Drosophila melanogaster: one gene and its partner. The protein of the gene in region 1 interacts with the protein of each later gene in a pairwise test. Each region holds a gene or a part of one and is shown on either strand. Other genes may lie near its edges.

Region 1 (3,928 bases):
CCAAAATGTTCAGCATGGTTGCTACATCGGGATGGTCGTGACCACTTGTCCTTTCGAGATCTTCCAATGCTTGCTTGCAGAGGGGAACGGCTACCTCGTATCTAGAAATATATTAGGCTATTATAGTTAATGATGAATTGATAGATAACGATGTTGTAGGTAAGGGGTTTCTTTAGTGCTCACGAGTAAAATAAAATGCATGGATGATGACTTACCTTCCCTGCGATGCATACTGAATGACCAGGTTGTGCAGAGTACGGAGACGCGCTGGAATCTCGTAGCCGGAAGTCTGGTTGGCGAACTGGCTGGGCGGAGTGGGCGACATGTTGTGTCTGTCCTCGTTTTCCTCGTCCGGGAATAGCTCGACCACGGGATCGGTGCGGGACTTGTCGCAAGCGTCGTCCTGCTCCTGATTCTCGTCGTACTTCTTCACGGACGCCATGAACTCCAGGTGCTTCTTCTCCTCCTCTAGTTGGGCCACCAGCTGCTCGGATGCCTGGAACTTTTGCTGAGTGTTGGCCAGCTCGTCGCGAAGCCAGGCGTTCTCCTGGTGGAGGCGGCGCACCTGTGTCTTAAGCTTGTGCTTCTCGGCCTCGATGTTCTGCAGATGGGATGTCAGGGCCATCATCACCTGGGCCTCGCTGAGGCCCAGTTCGATGTTCTCGATGTTCTTTCGCAGCATGTCCGACTTTTCATTGTCCTTCTGCACCTCGGCGATTCCGTTCATAATCGAAACATGCTCCACTCGCAAGGCTTCGAGGCCTTGAAGGACTGTTTTCGTATTGGTTATGATTTCGTCCTGCGACATTTGCGTCATTTTGCCGATTTTCTCAATTTTCTGTCTACAAAACACATACAAAATACAGATTAGTAAGTGCTCCTACAACCCTCTGACATCTGAAAGTGTAACAACATGAATGATATCAAAATTAAAAGGTGTTAATCGAGGTATTTGATGTGTTTTACATCCTGTATGATTTGATAGCTTTGGAGACAATCATTTTAACCGTATATTAAACGATTCTAGCTGCGTTAATCAATACGATGAAAAAGAAAATTCGCAGTGCGCATGCACGTTAAAAAAGGTGGTTGATAATCGAAAATGCCCGCGCTATTACATTCGCTGTAACAATAACTTTTAGAAACTACAGAAACTATTAAAAGTAAGGGATCAACTTTCTGGATTAAGTTAACTTCAATTTACTTTTAAGCCAAACAAATTCCAGTTCATTCAATTATGTTTTCTAATTGGAAACTAATGGTGGAAGCATATTCGATTTATATCGAATACTGTGCTTTGAAAACTTTCTTTTATTTATTATTTATCAACATTGCCGGTGTGATTTACATAAACATGACACTTCGTTAAAAAGTGTTTAAGGCCATTTAGTTCGTTTATTATGGTTATAATTATGGGCGAAAGTTAATTACACTTGGCGTCATGCAATAAACAAAAAACGAATGGCAAAAGTAGCTGCTTACATCAACTAAAATAAATTGTATAGTTTTTTAGAGACCGAAGCTATTAGTACCCTAACATATTCAAAATTATAGTTTTCTTTAGTCATTTGCCTTTCGAATCGGAAATCTAGATTGCGTAAAATGAGATTGTAAGTTGATTTTCGAGAAAATAGCTTTATTCTTAATCAAGATCGCCAAATATTGTGATTGGAATAGTCAGATTATAAATATTGCAAATGGGGTTACAACACCCCAGCTCACTAATTCCAGTGTATTAAAAAGTGAGTCACTTTTTGTACATAATATCTATGAACACTTAAACATAAAAGTTAGTGGCATTAAGAGATTGTATTTAGTATTTATCATGCTAAACGATTACTTAGGCCTTAGGCCTCCATTTGTGTTTACTTTGCCACACGAGCTGCCGCCGAGCACTTTTCCAACTAGACTTGATTATTTATGTAAAACGAATCATATTTTCCAGTAAAAAACTTTTCTTCAAGTGGCAGTCACTTATATTTATGTGCAACATATGTACATACACAGATAAGCTCAAGTAGATGTGTTTGTGTGTGGGTGAATGGATTTTGTCGTTCGAAATCCAGTTGGAAATGATTATGCAAGTTATCGCGCAGTGCATTCAAATATTGTAACTTATTACCAGCGGTTTTGCTCTGCAAACTCCTCAAATAAGCGAAATAGTGCGTAGATTTGCTATAAAAATATCTTACACTGCAAAACTTCTAAAATAAAACTGAGTGTGACCGTAGCCGGGGCGTTGAATTGTGTTTGACAAGCTAGGATTTTCTTCAACTGTGCAGTAGTGGTCACACTGTCGGGAGGAGAACGCAGTGGAATCGAAACACTAACTAAAGAAATGAAAATTCCTGAAAAAATCGGGTAGACTAACAATAAGACTTCGTATAATAGCTAAGATGTAGTATAAATAAAGTAGTAGTTAAAAGTAATAATGCGCAACATGCTATTTGTAAGCATCTATAACATGTTGGAGGTCAACAAACGCACATACCTTGGTGGAGCAGGTATTGATTTAGTTCAATAAAAAATTTAATTTTTGGAACTAATTAAAGGTGTATCTTGAAATTTGTACACATAATATATAAATTAATTTGTTGTTAACTTAATGGATTTGAAAACATCGTTATTATATTAGCAAGCTGGCATATTTTTGTATTCACGATACGGTCGCACTATTCTTTTTGTAATAAATTTTGCAAGACTTTTTCAAGTCTCCGTTTTTGTTCTATATTTTAATTTTTACCGTCTAAAACTGAACAAAAGAGTATGCCACCCCCAAGACCGAAGGGGATAGGATTTAATACAGGAGCTACCCAACCCAGATCGAACTCAAACACGCCAATGTCGGAGAGGCAGCAAATGGCTCTGCTCATCCAAATGACAGCCAACTCGTCGACAGGTAAATAAGCAAAATAATTAAGTGAATGTCTACTTTTCACATGATTCAAGTGGATTTTATAGTTCAGTCACAAAGCTTAGAACTTTTGCTCGTCGGCTTGAATTTCAATTTACATCGTGGGTACTTCGCTGCGTACATACTTACACGCATATACATCTATGCATGTACATATCTACGTATGTACATACATAAATGTATCTGAGAGTCAGGAATAATGTAAAAGTATCCGAGAAACTGGTTTCGATTGCGGATAAATTGTCATTTAACTGATTCAAATGAAGATACCAATTATTATTGAAGAAATATGTGTAAAGATGTCAAAAAAACCCTGTCTCTTATCCGAGCTAATACTTTAGAAACCAAAATTAAAAACAACTCATTTAACGATGCTTAAGTTCTTAGTTTTCACACAAAATCATTTTAGTTGGTTTTCCTTCAAACATAACTACAAATTCCACCCGAAAAGATATCCGATAGACAATAAGCTTTCATTTTACTTCCTACATGATCTTCCAAACTAAATCACACAGCCGTCAAATGTAATGTATAAGATTCTCGTTCTTGCAGATTCATCCCGCACCACCTTAAAGAAGAATGAATGCAAGAAAGGAGACGCAGAGACTGACGAGGGCAGCCTGAATGAGAAGCAAGAGGTCCTGGACACGAAAGACAAATCTTCAGCGGAGGAGAGCAGCAACGATGGTAAATCCAGCGATACGAATCATCAGGGAACTTCGGCTGCCAAGCGCTGCTACTCAGACATAGAGGAGGACTACGAGGAATCTGGCGAGGACGTAAAGAAAAAGAAGCGCAAGGATTCGGAGCATGGAAAGGACGTGAAGGGGGCCTCCCTGAAGCTCACATCGCGCGTGGAGAAAAGCTCCAAGCTAGCTGCAACGAAGGGATCCCCGTCAGGAAACAAAAGCAGCGCTTCCAATGCCGAAAAGGAGCCGGCGGAGACTAGTAAGAATGTAGATATTGAGAACGAAACGGAGTGCAGCGATGATTACAAGAGTAACGACAGCCTAT
Region 2 (3,928 bases), 4.8 Mb from region 1:
GAAAATAAATAGACCACAAACGAAAAATTTTGATAACTCACGATGCTGACAACCTGTTCATTCTGAAAGAGAAAGAAAAGAACAAAAACATGGTGTAAAGGACACATAAAAAACAAAATTTTCAACAAATTGATTAAATGAAAAATGTGCAAATAAAACCCGTCTTATGAATAAGTACATGATGAATGAGTGAGGTTGGTGCAAAATTATTTACGATAAATGTGTTAAATAAGATAATAAAATAAAAAGATATACCATGCGTTTTCACGTATTTAAATGATTTTAATTGGAGTTTAATTTAGTTTTTAAGTTTTACACGGCATTTCTTGGCATTTACATTGCAAGAGACGGTAATTCTCTAATAAAAACCCGTCAACCGCCCAAGGTTGGGCCAACCTATAAGGCCAACTAGCTAAAGTATTCAAACATTTTTGGTCAGACTTGTTTCACAAATGGTTTCTGCGCTCGTTGGGCTAAAAAACAAGTTTTTATCGGCGTGTCAGCAATGCTTCCCGCTTCAAAGTGCCTGTTTGAACTCATTACTCAATTAACAGGTAGCTTATCAGCCGCCCATGTGCGCCAAGAACTATGAATTGGGGAACCTGATGAGCTCATTTCGTGGTGAGGATAGCGAAATAACACTTATATGAGTACGAAATTGAGAGGGAAGGCCCCCTGATTTGATTTGCATAGACCGATTAAAGCTAGCGAAGCTGATAAAGTGCAAAATCAATCGGGGAATTGGGGTGAAAATTAAAAATAGACCAGACTGTAGATGGGGCAGTTGAGGAATCCAATATACTATATACATATATGGAGTTTTAAGGCTATAAAAATCGATAAGCTTTTATGGTGTCATACCATTTTATTGAACTGATTTTGAAAAAGTTGTTGAACCTAAAAATACCTATACTTTATGGTTATAAATAATTATAAACGCCAAAACTATAATTATTGTGTTTGATGTTCTAGAATTTCTATAGCTTATCAGATAAGAGATGTTTAACAAAATTTATGACATGGTATTTCTTTCTCTGCAGAATATTGCGTGAGGTGGTCATAAAATTTGAGGGCCAACTGACTGACTTTATTGATTTCTGGTCCCCGGCTTCTTACCCTTCTTTTGCTCTCTAACTCTCTTTTTCTACCCATTTTTGGCTACTATTTTTCGCCAGCTTTAATGTCAATGACCACAGACGTCAGCTGATGCATAATAAACAATTGTTGGCTGCGTTTTTACATAATTAAGGGTATATAAACAAGAAAGAGATACGAAGAGAGCAAGAATGATGTGCAAAGAAAGCATATTTCTGCGATTGTATTTCCGCTTGGAACACTTTTATAGCCTCATTATCTCGTGTTTGTGTTACTTGTACGATACGAGTGGGTCTGAATGTGGATGGTAAGGAGCAGAGAACCAGAACAGATTAAACCTACTTATTGTGCGTTATCAAATTTAAGGGAGAATCAGAAACGCCCGTATGATTCAGTGAATAGTATAAATTAGTCAATGGTATCACAGTGAATTTTCCTGGCTATAAACTATCAATGGACTGCTATTGAAACTTAAGACTATTCCCATTCCGAGTGATCTGGTTACTTCTCAGTGGGACAAGATGAAAGAGGGCTTTTGTGGATGGACTATTACCTTCTCCGACATGACCATGTTGTTGTCCTCGGTACCGTAGACAGTTTCAGCTCCGGACTGTGGTCCTCCATTGTTGAGCAGTGCATCATCGTTGTCCATCATGATGAATGGTGTTTGGGTGGATCGGAGGATCTCTTTATTTATAAAGGAGGTGTGCTCTCTACTCTTTAGGAAGGGCGAGGGGCGGTAGGGTGCTGCACTTGACTGCTGTTGATGGGTCGTACGTCACGCGTTAACCGTTATGCAGGCAATGGCTTTTCAACCCCACCAGAATAACAACACGGTAGATGGGGAAGAAAAGAGGGAGAAAAAGAGAGAGAGACTCCCACACACACGCACACACCACACACAGACACTTGACTTTTTGATGATTTGTGAGATTATATTTATATTTTGAACAGATCTCTAGTATATTTAAATAAACTGCACTTTAGCTGGCTTCTGCGTGTCACTTATTATTTGCGTTTTCGTTTTGCGCCCCTCTTTCTTCTCTTTCACATCCATTCACAATATTTGATTGACTAGATTTCATCGTTTTTCGCGTTTGCTTTTCGATGTATTTTCAGCAATGTTACTCGCGAATTTCACTGCCGACGCCTTCGCGGCCATCCGTTGCTTACGATTGAGCACTAAATTTAAGCGAATCAGTGGTTTTTCACACCATTTTTGCAATAAATATTGAAACACTTTGCAGCGCAGCTACGATGTGTGGGTGGGTGTGAACGTGTTACCCTGAAAATACCGATCACCTTGCATTGGCGAAGTGGTATTTTTAACTAGGTGTTTTACGGTCGCACTTAAGTAATGTTTAGCAAATTATTACACCGTAACTTACTAAAATTAATTATATTTATTTCTAATATTTTCGATTTATGTAAAGTTTAAATTTAGAAAGGCCCTTGTTTGAAAAACCGTCAGCAAATATTTGAAAAATACTAAGACATTCACAATGGGGTGTTCAGCTGTTGAGCTATTCGTTATCGAATAGTTTTGGCTTGTTGGTTTGGTATTTTTTCGATAGCTTCAACGTCACGCCGTCCAGTTGCTGTTGTTGTTTTTAATAATTTCGCCTGGATTTCCATTTGTTTAAATAAAAAATGGTTTTTGTAAAGAACTGGGATGATTTCGAGATTGCCGTCGAGAACATGTACTTGGCCAATCCACAGAACTGTCGACTTACCATGAAATACGCGCACTCCAAGGGCCACATTCTGCTAAAAATGACGGACAACGTTAAGGTTTGCACCCAATTCCATTATCAGTGCAAAACACATTTTTAAATTTTTACTTCATTAAACCACAGTGTGTGCAGTACAAAGCGGAGAACATGCCGGATCTCAGAAAAATCGAGAAGATCACCAGCAACTTGGTGGGACACATGGCGTCCAAGGAATAGAACGCAGAAAAACAGAAACTTTTTGGCCACGGCGACACTTCTGCCCAGGAACAACAACAAAGATCATAGCACATGCATGAGCATATGAATCGGCCACGAATGTTGTTGTTGCTTCGCCGGAGCAGGTGTGTGCTTGTGTGTGTGCCATCAACACCCGCATTGAATTTAGTTTTTAAGCACCAAAAAAGCCGCCGAGTTTTTGACATTCGAATGTGGCGATCAGAGTAGCTGCTGCATTTAGCCTGCTTTTAAACGACATTTTATAAATGTCTGCTCTGTACACGTTGCGAATGAACTGCGGATGGAATCATCATCATCATTACTTCTCTTCTGGTGGTCCAAATCCCCATCTGCAGGCAGCGGCGGCGGTGCAAAATGTTTTTCATAATGTTAACCATACGGTTTTGTATTTATCGTAAGAGTCAATCGGTCTTTCAACACATTTCCATGAAACGATTAGCATGAAATAAATCAAGGGAGAACTGAAAAATGCAACGAGACTAATCAATCTTTTGGTGTTTTTATCATTAATTTGGTTTAAAAACCCCATTTTATATATATCTAGATCAATCAATCTATTCCAAAATTAAGTTTCCAATAGGTAATGCAACCAAACCTGCCATATTTTTCACATAAAAGAATATTTTATTCGTTCTAAGTATTACTCATGTTACCTGAAATGGATGTAATTTCTTTCGGAGCATATCAAAAGAATTTATTAATATTTCCAGCACAAGAAGAGGGAGTAGTTGGCATTCGGAGACGTTTTCCGAAGAACTCTTAATTGCCTAACCATTAAAGCGATTAAACAGCCCGAGCAAACAGTTAACAAGCCACCTGAAAGCAGGAGGAGGAACCGAAGAACCACCGATGGGAACTGGAAA

What was found.
Region 2: the proteins of Klc (region 1) and syd interact in a two-hybrid assay, tested with the Drosophila melanogaster proteins (one study listed by BioGRID).

What each region holds. Positions count from the first base shown.
Region 1 is NT_037436.4:12,747,841-12,751,768, forward strand, and holds the start of Klc (kinesin light chain), read right to left. Parts: upstream 2,217-3,928; 5' UTR 2,123-2,216; intron 2,000-2,122; exon of another isoform or gene 1,870-1,999; intron 1,059-1,869; exon of another isoform or gene 967-1,058; intron 843-966; 5' UTR 818-842; coding exon 216-817; intron 102-215; coding exon 1-101. Other genes in the region: CG10984 (uncharacterized protein), read left to right, coding at 2,767-2,899, 2,962-3,015, 3,467-3,928. UniProt on the Drosophila melanogaster protein: Kinesin is a microtubule-associated force-producing protein that may play a role in organelle transport. The light chain may function in coupling of cargo to the heavy chain or in the modulation of its ATPase activity.
Region 2 is NT_037436.4:7,933,730-7,937,657, forward strand, and holds the start of syd (sunday driver), read right to left. Parts: upstream 2,392-3,928; 5' UTR 1,751-2,391; coding exon 1,649-1,750; intron 424-1,648; exon of another isoform or gene 259-423; coding exon of another isoform or gene 256-258; intron 63-255; coding exon 42-62; intron 1-41. Other genes in the region: Srp9 (signal recognition particle 9), read left to right, coding at 2,746-2,886, 2,952-3,044. UniProt on the Drosophila melanogaster protein: The JNK-interacting protein (JIP) group of scaffold proteins selectively mediates JNK-signaling by aggregating specific components of the MAPK cascade to form a functional JNK signaling module.